2 linked regions of the Caenorhabditis elegans genome follow. The protein of the gene in region 1 interacts with the protein of each later gene in a biochemical or structural test. Each region holds a gene or a part of one and is shown in the gene's direction. Other genes may lie near its edges.

The links.
Region 2: of the proteins of tap-1 (region 1) and mom-4, one has a biochemical effect on the other in vitro, tested with the Caenorhabditis elegans proteins (2 studies listed by BioGRID).

What each region holds. Positions count from the first base shown.
Region 1 is NC_003284.9:14,587,842-14,592,326, forward strand, and holds tap-1 (TGF-beta-activated kinase 1 and MAP3K7-binding protein 1), read left to right. Parts: upstream 1-1,782; 5' UTR 1,783-1,816; coding exon 1,817-1,953; intron 1,954-2,313; coding exon 2,314-2,449; intron 2,450-2,493; coding exon 2,494-2,637; intron 2,638-2,681; coding exon 2,682-2,758; intron 2,759-2,811; coding exon 2,812-2,920; intron 2,921-2,964; coding exon 2,965-3,090; intron 3,091-3,263; coding exon 3,264-3,349; intron 3,350-3,444; coding exon 3,445-3,541; intron 3,542-3,694; coding exon 3,695-3,943; 3' UTR 3,944-3,980; downstream 3,981-4,485. Other genes in the region: bltp-3B (Chorein N-terminal domain-containing protein), read right to left, coding at 37-147, 197-314, 365-438, 664-759, 808-913, 1,202-1,245. UniProt on the Caenorhabditis elegans protein: Involved in the Wnt signaling pathway by regulating mom-4 kinase activity.
Region 2 is NC_003279.8:9,895,165-9,902,637, reverse strand, and holds mom-4 (Mitogen-activated protein kinase kinase kinase mom-4), read left to right. Parts: upstream 1-1,820; 5' UTR 1,821-2,038; coding exon 2,039-2,107; intron 2,108-2,265; coding exon 2,266-2,432; intron 2,433-2,535; coding exon 2,536-2,634; intron 2,635-2,679; coding exon 2,680-2,759; intron 2,760-3,176; coding exon 3,177-3,303; intron 3,304-3,916; coding exon 3,917-4,298; intron 4,299-4,641; coding exon 4,642-4,860; intron 4,861-4,909; coding exon 4,910-5,013; intron 5,014-5,701; coding exon 5,702-5,813; intron 5,814-5,864; coding exon 5,865-5,980; intron 5,981-6,520; coding exon 6,521-6,656; 3' UTR 6,657-6,960; downstream 6,961-7,473. Other genes in the region: lsl-1 (C2H2-type domain-containing protein), read right to left, coding at 1-48, 99-207, 371-637, 874-1,114, 1,162-1,246, 1,294-1,359; col-64 (Nematode cuticle collagen N-terminal domain-containing protein), read left to right, coding at 7,042-7,185. UniProt on the Caenorhabditis elegans protein: Part of the Wnt signaling pathway essential for the specification of the mesodermal cell fate in early embryos. Stimulates the wrm-1/lit-1-dependent phosphorylation of pop-1 and plays a role in the initial nuclear accumulation of wrm-1.

The sequences.
Region 1 (4,485 bases):
AATTGATTCTAGAAATGTTTCTTTTTAAAAATTCACCTGCTTAAACATCAATGTTCTATTTGTCTCCGAGCACGTAATTCTAGTCTGACGCAAGTCTTTCACTTGAGCCCATCCTGGACTTCTGCTCTCCACTGACAATCGTTGAAGCTGAAAAATTTCATTAATTAAAACATTTTCCGGCTGAGCAAACACAAACCATAAATGAGCCTCCGAATACGTCGGAATCAAAGTTAATTTCTACAGAACTTATATACAAAGACATGTTTTCGATGATTTTGTTCATGAAGCCGTATGAACTGCTGTCACCGAGATTTCTGCAAAAACGTGAAGGGTTTAATTTCGAAAATGGTAGAACTATGCTTACCCAAGTGGATTTGATTTTGCCTGTTTTTTATGCTCATTGGTAAGCTCCACATCCACATTGATTTCATCAATGAACTGAAATTATTTTTACGATTATAAAAGCATGAATTTGAATGAAAAAGGAGTTTATGTGAGACTATGACACTTTTCAAAATATTTATAACTTTTTTTTTACAAAATAGAAAACGTTATCAAAAATGCAACATTTGGCAGATTTAATTTGTCTGATATAATTATTCAAAATACGAGAATAAATTTGTCTACTTCAATTTCTAATTCAAAAAAAAGAAAACAACCTACAATCTGAATTGGGCAAGTTTTCAATTTGGTCCATGGTACATTCACAGCTACACCTGTACAGAATGCTCGTTTGATTTTCAACCACGAAGGAAGCTCCTGAAATTTTGAGTTTATGCAAGGAAAGCATGTACATTTAAAACTCACCAAAATCTCTGTCAAAACATCTTCGTTAATTTCAATAAACTGAAGTTTACTATTTCCTTTTAACACGTCTAAGGATATCTGCTCGGGCTTCAAGTTTTTTGTGAATCTGAAAAAAAGTGAATTTTTTGAGGGTGCAAACTTGATTAAATTCCATAGTAAAACTTTTCAAAAAAAATTTGAAATTTTATACTTATTGTCACAAGTAGCAATTACCAAGATATTTTTGGTTTTTTTAAGCGATTTGGAGCATATTTTGGCAAAATTCCCAGTGGCGTTACAAAAATTTTAACATCCATTTTATCAACTAAACAAGGAGGGTATTATTTGAGAAAAAATATGTTTGACGTTGTCATCGATTTTTAATATTTTTCAATACACTCAAAAATTAACTTACTTGGATAAATGTTTGACTAGCTGGTTTTTGATTATTGACGTCATCTTCGGTGTACAATTCTGCAAAAAAAATCGATTTTCAGGTGCGAACTACAAAAAACTACATAAATACACAGAAAATCATCAATAGAACATATTGAATCAAAAACAATGTGCTCATTATTTATGCGAAAATGCATTAATTGTCCAAATTGCGACTATCGGTTTTTGCCAATGGAGCGCGTTTGGCACACGCGGCGGTGTATGCTTGGGAGGGTGCGTGCGCGCGTCGGCATGCCAATTCTCTCAACGTGTTTGTGCTTGGCTAGCCATTGCTGCTTTTTGATAAGAATAGAAACGCGTTTTGGCGTGAGAAAAAAGACCGGATATAGATTTTGAAGATTAGAATTAGAATTTTTCCCTTTTTTTAAATTGTATTTCAATATAAAAATATAATTTGATTAGAATTTTTTGTTGTTGCTCATTGAACGTTTATATAATAAAAAAGAAAGTAGAAGTAGTCAATCAACAAATTTGTTTATCGTTTGTATTAATCGTTTTCTCTGTCATTATTTCTCTAACTCATCGTGAATTTGATTGTAGATAAGCAGGAGAGCAGTCGCAGAGCACAGGCAAAATGGGGGACGACGGGTTCCTCGATCAATACCCTGCCAACACCGATGCGGGCATTGGCACTGTGCACAGCTGCCGCTACTCAAAACAAAAAAATCCGGTGCAGAACAACGATTTTTTATCGTGCTCCATGTGCATACAGTGAGTTTATTCTACTTTTTTTGTTGCAAAATGAAACATAAACCGATCTTAATTAGGAAAAAAGTCAAATTTTACAGCAATTCAGTGGAAAATAAACTGAACGATTACGTGGGAAAATGCAATTTTTACACTTTCCTTGTCTAGTAACACAATGAACAAAAAATGAAAAGAGAAAGTTTTGGAACGATACATTGAAGGTGTTAAATACAATTTGTTTGCAAGGAAGTAAATGTCACAAGTACATCAATTAAAAAATAAAACTATATTTATCGTAATTTTTTGTTAAAACATGAAAGATCATGTAGACACAGATTAGTAGATTACATTAATAGTAAAAGTTAACAAATTTTCATTTTTCAGCAATGGACCCATCAAACTCTACGGTATTTTTTCCGGATTTAATGGTGGCGATTCAACAGCGAAGTTTGTCATGAACAGATTGGTATATGAGATTTTTGGAGAAAATCCAATTACACCAACACTACTCCCTTATCAAGTGATTTAACAATCAAATTTTCAACTCTACAACTACATTTTCAGGTGGTGGAAGAATTTAAACGGAAATTTGAAAACGTTGCCGAGCGTTATTTGTTGATGAACACCGATGATTTGAACAATCGACTGTTAAAGTTGGAGGAACAGTCGGAAACTGGAAATAATGCAGTATCGGAAATCAATCAAAAAGTTAGACTAAATTTTGAAATTATTATAATCTCCCAAATTTTCAGATTCGCCAAGGTACCACTGCCATAGTAGTCATGATCATTAACCAGGACCTATATGTGCTAAATTGCGGAAACTCTCTGTAAGATTTTTGAAACTGTTTGTTAGGAATTTTTGAAAAAAAAAAACTTTCAGCGCAATTGCTATGAACAGTGAGAACGTAGTGCAGCTCAACTCAAATCTACACAATAATGACAATCCTTTGGAGATTGTACGAATAAAAGGGCTAGGGATTAATCCGGAGGTAATTAATTTTTTTTGTAATAATTTTACAAAATAAGTTTACAGACAGTTCTGAATCCAACTAGAGCGATCGGTGACTTACAACGAACCCACCTGTTTGAAGAGACGGAAGCTTTCAAGAATGCAAAAGGACCACCGGTTATTTCTACTCCAGATGTTCAGTATACAAAGGTTTGCTATGATGAAATGTTGTTCTGGAACATTTTACGAAAAACAAGATAAAAGATCAAATTCAATGAAAATATTAGTCACAACACCTCAGATTTGATTACAAAATGAGAACATGTTTTCTTTTCTTTTTTTAAATGCTTATTTTCCAACCAACAGGTAACTTCTACTTTTAGATCGACCCATCCTGGAGACATTTGGTTCTGATCTCCGACGGTGTAGTTCAGAATCTTAAGGAAGTTGAAGTTGAAAACATCCCAACGTAAGTAGCAAACTTATGGAACTTTTTCGTCAATAACCAAGTCACACGTTTATAAAAATAAAAAATAAAATTTTCATCGATTCCCCAGTTTTCAGAGAAGTATCCGTTCGACTAATTGAAGATCACACAGTTACAAGTACAGCGCAGGCATTGGTAGACTCGTTTGCAAGAAAGCATCGCGATGCTTACACGGTTTGTTGGATTTACCCTTTTTTAGATAAGCAAATTTGAATACAATTTACAAAATTTTACCTATTTCTTCTCAATTCAATTAAATTTGTTCAAACATTGGGCGGATGTATTTTGCTATTCCACATTGCCATATTATTTTTATTTTATTTTCAGATGAGCGACGATAAAAATTTCTGTATCAGTAATCACAGAGAGGAAATGACTGTGATTTATGTGAAGCTCGAGGAAGATTACCAAGCGGCTCTTTACGAACAATTCGATTCAGCGATTTCGACAATGGAATCTACAAATGCAACATTGTATGAGCCCTGCTCGACACCATATGTCGATGCTACCAACTTCAATTCTGGAAAAAATTATGAAAAGATGAAGAAACTACTTCTAACTCGACCTTCAAAATAAATATTGTTGCTAGTAAATATAAATATTTGTTATCATGTATTATGTGTTATTTTTGCGGGGAGTATGATTATGATGCTTTCATTACAAATGTAACGTTATATGTGCCTATGTGGTGCCATGTGCCAGGATGTCCCATCACGGATTGATCTAGAAAAATAGCGGGATTTTTTCGCCCAAAAAAAATGCGACGTCAGCGCGTTCTTAACCATACGAAATCAGTGGAGAACTCTGCGTCCCCTTCTCCCGCATTTTTTGTATTATTGATCTACGTAGATCAAACCAAAATGAGTAACTCTGACACCACTTGTGTGCCCTGTTCGACACCTTACGTGGAAGCTACCAATCTCAACTCTGGGAACAATTTTGAAAAGATCAAGAAACATTTTTCAAGTCGACCGTCAAAATAATTTCTATTGTTGCTACTACATAGATCTAAACTTTTCTTTTCCTATTTCTTTGTTTTATTTTGAAAAAAAAATCTCTGACGAGAGATGCGGGGGAGGAGTTGCTTGAGCTGGTGTGAGATCAAATTTCTTGAATTT
Region 2 (7,473 bases), on another chromosome or scaffold:
TTGGTGTTGACGATACATATCTACGTCGGCGAATACTCTCATGCATTTCTGAAAATAAAGTTTACAGGATATTCAAGATTTAATTTTCAATTATTTACCGTGCAATAATTTGGTTCTTCAGCTTCTTTCTTATCATGAGAAGCATACATATGCAGTTGACAATCCTCTCTTCCACTACATTCGCACTTGCAAATTGGGCATCGAAAGCTGTAATTTTCAGATTTTGCATGGGATATTAGTAAGACAATAATTATAATAATTTGCGGTAAAAATACAAACGCTGGTCTTTTCACGTCTTCTTTTTTTGTAAAATACAAAAGGGCGTGCGCCTTTAAAGAGTACTGTAATTTCAAATTGAATTGAAACTTACATCTCAAACTCGAGTGGTTTAGCTTGTTCTAGAACATCGGATGCCATGTGACAGTTAGTCAATCGCATTGTAGCTCTCATGATTTTATCGTCAAATGAAGATAGTGGGATAAGCTGGTTTCGGCAGATCATATCAACCCATTTTGAAGGATCTTTACCCAATAAAAGTTTCGGAACCGATCGCTTCTTCTCTGGATTGTAATAGGGCATCGATGTCCCACGAATGACTAGAGCATCGGACGGAATAATTCCAGACGAACGCCGATTGCTGAAATCATTTTTAAGACGAGATAGATATCAGAATTCCCCTCGTACAACACATATAATTCGTGGTTCGTGTATTATACGGTGGACGTACAATAAATGTATTATTCACATAATATAATGGACGAAGTTCTTAAAATTCGTGCAATGCAATGTGAATAACATATTTATTGTACGTCCAATGTATAATATACGTACCACGAACTATTTGTGAAGGTGAAGGGTCGACCGATTGCCAACCTCGAATATGGTCTATAAGCAGCTTCCAACTCTTCTTTGCTTGTCACATGAGTTCGCATGTGCTTTTTCATGTTTCCTTTCAATCGGAACTGTTTTCCACAAAATGGACACACATAAGGGGTATAGCCGGTGTGAACGGTACGATGCTCGAACATATTCGATTTGTATCGGAATCCTCGGCCACAAACATCGCAGATGTATGGTTTGGTGTCGGTATGAATCACAGAGTGCTGTTGGAGACCTGAAATGTTTTTTTTTATTTCAGCTTTCTATTTTTATGCGAATAACCTTTATAATTCATAAACATTTTATTACACACATTACACTGATGAACAGCAAACGGGGCGACTTCTTCTTGTTGATAGGTTCCGAACTAGAAACATTTCAATAATCTTAAAAATAAGAATCGAAATAAAATACCGTTATAGAAGCTTCGTAGTCCTCGCCGTCGTAAGATGGATCCGTTCGGTCATCAATAATTGACATCTGAAGTAAAAAATAAAATTTTTTGAAGAAAAAATGCAGACAATTTGTTGGTTTAAACATAAAATTAAGACAAACAAAACTCATAAATTAATTGACAGCTTCTCTAAATTTTAGGATTACCGTGTTTGACAGTTTCGTGGTGAGACCCAAAAGTTTCGTTGCGTCATGCGCCTTTGAGCACAGTGTCCCCAACAAAGAATTGTTTCTGCAATTTCGAATTAAGCTGAAAACATTATTTATATATTTAACAAAATTAGTTTAGAACAGAAGAACAGAAAATTAGAACATTTTCGATCTTTGTATTTTTTATACAAATATAATTTGAATAAATTTCCATACTTCTTCCCCGTTGTGTAATTTCTTTACTTTTCAGAACTTAAAACATTCAATTATTCTTTATTTTGAATTTTCTGTAAAACCTGCGCAATTGAATTTTATGTATTTATCAAAACAATTTTCAGCCATGCTACAGTAACTTCTTTAAAATCATCATTCTTCCTTGTCTAAATCGGAAATCTGTCTGTGTCCCGTTGGTCTATTTTGTTATTCGTCTGCAGTTTCTTCTACTTGTGCACTATATCGTTTCCACTGAGCGAGAGAAAGAGTATACACACACAACACATGCCAGTTCCTGTCCTTTGCCGCCCATCACCATTTTTTTCACCGTTTCGGCTCTGAAATGGACAATTCGTCACAGAGCAAACCGTCTAGTAGTTCGTCCAGTCATTCGCCAAGTCCTGCCGCAATTGTAAGTTTAATGGATTTTGAGTAAAGAAAAATAACGTTTTCTTGTAAAAACAGTATTGTATTTAATTTTTAAAAAAATCAGTTGAAGACGTATAAAGCCTGCTTTTACCAAAACTATCAATAAAAATCACTGAAAACTCAATAAATTAATAAATTCAGACACCAACACAACGAACAACACGAGATTCCGGATTGTGCTCAACAATTGATATTCCCGAAATTCAAGCACAATGTATTGATAATTTAAATAGTCATTATCTCGGAAAAGGCACTTATGGATTGGTTGAGAAAACAAGATATAGAAAAACTAGGCAGGATGACTTTAGGTTCGTTTCTAGCTTCAAAAATTTAAATTTAATTCTTTTAAAGCATGAGGAATTATCAAAAGTTAACAAAAAATCAATAAAATCACCAAAATATTATTTTCAGGCCAGCAGCAATCAAATATTCTTCTCAACTTCATATGGCAACTCTTATAAGAGAAGCAAAAGTTATGTGGGATCTCAGAAATCATCCTAATATTATAAAGTATGTTTTTATAAATGGAAAATACTGAAAATAGAAGTTTTTCAGAATTTATGGACTGTACAAAAGCCCTCGGAATGGGCAAGGAGTCGTTATGGAATATATGGATTGTGGAAGCATGGCCGATTGTGAGATTTTCATTTAAATTTAGTGAAAATCCCCGATTTCGCCAAATTTTTTAACATTTTGTCGGTTTATTCCGTGTTTCTTAGCGAATTAAACTACATTTTTTCGGCAATAGGAACAGAAATTTCTATCAGCTAAAAATATATTAAAATACATCAAAAAAGCGGATTATACTGCAAAATATGGAAGAAACTGAATAAAAATCAATATATGGACGCTGTAACACGAAAAATCTGGCAAAAAAAATTTCACTATAATTTTGAACAAAAAAAATGCTATTTGGTTTTTTTTTTCCATTTTTAGTCTTAAAAAAATCGCTTTAAATTCTCCAAACCCTGTTTTTTACGAAATTAAAAATTCATTTCAATGAGGCAATTCTCCAAAATAAAATTTAGCTGAAAAATCTATTTTTTTTTCAGTACTCTACGACAGAACACACATTAATTATACAATTGATCATGTGGCTTCATGGATGTTTCAACTATCATCCGCCGTCGATTTTTTCCATTCCAACAGCCAAGTTCACAGAGATTTGAAACTTCAAAAGTGAGTTTTTGATAGCAGAAATTATTGAAAGAAATATATATGTTGGATGTGAAGATGTTTTCAGTGATTTTTGAAAATTAACAGAAAAATATTGAAATTTTTTTCTTTACTATTAGCTAATATATTAGGTAAATTTTTTAAAAGTTGAAAGAATTAATGGCGGAGATCCTGTCAATTTAACAATTTAGATTTTAGAAAAATTCAACAAAATCTTTTGAAATTTTAAGTGAATTTAGTACAGAAAAGCAGAAATGTTTCGAATCCATTTTTAGACATTCGAAAAATTAATTTTAAAGGGTTCTACATTTTTGTGTGAGCTATTTTTTTTATTTTTTTAAGCAAAAAGTTCCTTGAAAATTGGTCCACAAAATAATGTGTAAAATCTAAAAAAAATCATTTTTAAAAAATAATATTTCAAAGTGGATTTAAAAATATCCTCCAAGAAGAACTAATCATATGAAAATAATTTTAAAAAGCCATTTTAAAAGTAAAAATGAGGAATTTCTTAATTTTTGTAGCTTTTCAAATTTCAATAAATTATCAGAAATCTTTAGCGGTCAGTTTTCAAAATTAAAATTAAATCACCTACTGTGGTCAATCAAAATAATTTCAGCATGCTTCTCTCTGATCGATATCGAACAATGAAATTATGTGATTTTGGAACATTTACCTCAATGCATCAATCAATGACTTCAAATCGTGGAACTCCAATCACAATGGCTCCAGAAGTATTTCGATGTGAACAGTATAATATGAAATCTGACATCTACAGTATTGGAATTATAATGTGGCAAATTATTGCTAGAAATCATCCGTATCGAAGAGATCTCTCAGTTCCTGGACTTTTATATAATGTTGCGACAGCTAACTTACGTCCACAAGAACTCGAATGTAATCCTATTTTGTCTGAATTTTATAAGAAATGTTGGAATGATAATGCTGATATTCGACCGACTTCTTCCGAATGTGTAGAATATTTTACTCTTCTAAAAGATGTAAGTTCTTTTAAAAAATTAAAAATTAAATACTCAACCAGTTAAAAACAATTTTTTTGAATTGAACAAATATTTCTAAAAATACAAAATTAAAATTTTTGGACAATCTCGAAAGAAGGTGCTGCAAAGCAAATTAAATTTTTTGTTTTCGAATTTTTTATTGCGAAGAAATTAAAGTATTTATTGAATTTATTTTAAAGTTTTTAAATTTTAAAAATTGTGTTATTCCAACACAATTTTTAATTTTATCTGAGAATTACTGTATTCGTGATAAGACCTGCTTTTCTATGAAACATATGAATCTCGCCAAACTCCAAAAAAACTAATTTTTTTTGCATTAAAGGAATATCCGAATGGGAGCGTACCTTTATCGGATTCTTCAACAAATGGACCAGCAGAAACTCCTCCACCACATGCTCATCGACCAACAATGCTTGGAACTTCTTCTGGAAGTGGAATAGGATCAAATAATCGAACACCAACTGCTTCAAAACTTTTAAATCCTCAACAACCTGGACAGGGTCATAGAAGAAATCGTAGTGAGACTTTTGTAGTGCAACCGGTAAGATTTTCATTTGGATAGCTTGAAAAACAGAAAATTGAAATTTTAGGATCTACCGTATCCAACGGTTCCGGGTGAAGCTGGTGCATCTAGAATACCAAAATCTCAAAGTGAAGCTAAAAATTTTCGGGATAGAGCCAAAAGCGAGCAAAGGTAGGAATTAATGGAAATGGAGATGAGGACTGTCCTGTTTTTGGGGTTTTTCGGATAAGAAACTAAATATCTAAAGACATGCAAATTTAGACTAGAATAATTGAAAAAAACATTTTCGATTATTTTTCAGACGAAATTAAAAAAAATTGAAAAAATTGTTGTCTTTCTATTTTCTCGCAAAAACCGAAAAAAACGTTTAGAAAATTAACTAAAGGATTAAATGTTTAAAAACTTGTTTTTATGAAAAAAACAAAGAAAGCATGTAATTTTCTTTATAGAAAAGAAAAATTACCAAAATTTGAAGCTATTTTTCAAACATCGATTTTTCAATTTTTTCAGAGAAAGTCAAAAAATTTAAAAACGAACATTGTTTGATTTTTCTGAAATTCTAATAATAGAAAAAACGAAAAAAAGTGTAATAAATATCAATTTAAAAAATGAAACTATTAATTTATCAAAAAATTCATATTTCGATGAGAAAATACGAAAATTGCTTTTAAAAATAGAAATATGACCGAAAAGTATTTAAAATTTGGCATTTTCCAAAAATAAAATAATTTTTTTAAATTTTAGCTTCTTTGGTTCTTAGAGAAATTAAAAAACTAACACTTTGATGGGTATTTCTACAAAAGTAGACATTTATTTTTTCCATTGACGTGGTGTATTATGAAATATCTCTTTTTTTCAGGCAACCACATAGAGACGCACGTCCTCCTCCTCCTTTTGAGCACCGAAGAGATAGCAACGATGAGGAAAAACATGCCGTTTTTATGAATATTTGTTCGAATGAGGAGACTAGAGTAATCCTTCGATGAGATTTGAATTAAATATAATAACATTCAATTTTTCAGCCTATTGATCCTGATACTCGTGACGAAAAATCTTTGGAAATCTTTCATCAACACTGTGATAATAATAAACAATATGCAGATGCTTGGGTCATTAAAAAAGAAGTTATGAGAGCTAAGTTAGTTGAAATTGCTATGTTTCAATGTAAAAAATTTGTTTTAAGATAAAAAGCATTTCTGGAAAAGAGGAAAAATTCAAATTTTGTATCATTGCATTTTCCGAAAAAAAAATCGAAAAAGTGTTTAGATTTTAATTTACGAAAATATCAGCTTTTCATCAAATTGTGTTAAGTTTGTGAAAAAAAAACAATTAAACATGTCATTTTCATTTGATAAAATAAAAAATTATCAAAATAAAAAACTAGTTTAAATATCAAAAAATCTAAATTTTTTGAAAATATCTAAATATTGAATAACAAAAATTACATATTTTTCGATTTTTTATTTCAAATCGAAAAAGCGAAATAATTTTTTTCTAAAACAAAAAGTGCAATTTCAAGTGTTTTTTTTTGAAAAATTATAATTTTAAAAAGTTTTAAGTAACAAAAATTATGGATTATTTATTTTCCAAAATAACGGTGAAAATTTTAAATATCCTGACCGAAATTTTGCTTAAATCAAATTCAAGTCCAATTGAAAAATACAATTAAAAATTTCAGACATGAGCTAATTGCCCAATGGCCTCAACACGATCACACGGTAGAACTTCTTGAACGGAAATATTATCTGGAACAAGAAATTGCAAGATATCGGGACATCCAAGATGATAATTACTTTTCAACTGAAAGAATGTGAACTCATTTCACTTTTTTTAAAAACATTCTTAGATGTATACTCATCTCTAAATAACTTTTATCTATATACTCACTTCTTGTTCAATTTGAATTCTGATCACTTCCTGTCAACTTTCTCTTTCAGTCCCTCTTTTCCTGTCAAACTTCTCTCTCCTCTTTAAAACGCTGGTCGCTGCCGTCTGTCCTTCCGAAGTTCTAAATGTAATTGTTATTATCTATAGATTTGTGTATTTAGTGTCTAGATATCATTACATGACTGTCGATTTTATGACAAGAAAACGTTTTGTGGAATTATCTATCTACACATCCAACATCTGAACGTATCACCCATGCCAACGTGCATATAAAGAGTGATACGAACGGCAGTGAAGAGACAGTCTACTGAAATGGGTTACGGTACCAATGTGGCTTCTGGTGTTACTGTCATTTGTGCAGCTTTTCTTATTCCAATGCTAACATGTACTATTTCTTTATTTTATGAAGTTGCACAAATGCACATGAGTGCAATGGATGGAATGGATGAATTCAAGGTGAGAGGCTAATTGCAGATAGTAGGCTTAAGCTTATGTTTAAGCTTCACCAGAAGATGCAAATATTTTTAGTATTTAAAAAACATTGATTGACTTATTGCTAAATGATTATCATAGTCTCGAAGCGACAAAAAATGTTTAAGTAAGTCTGCGAAAAAAATGGTTGTGCGCCTTAAAAAAGTACAGTATTTTTCACTACCCTTTAATTTGCAACTAATCTCAATATTTTCCATAAACGTAAACATATGAAAACTATACAGCAAAATGAATGAAAATTAATGTACTCTT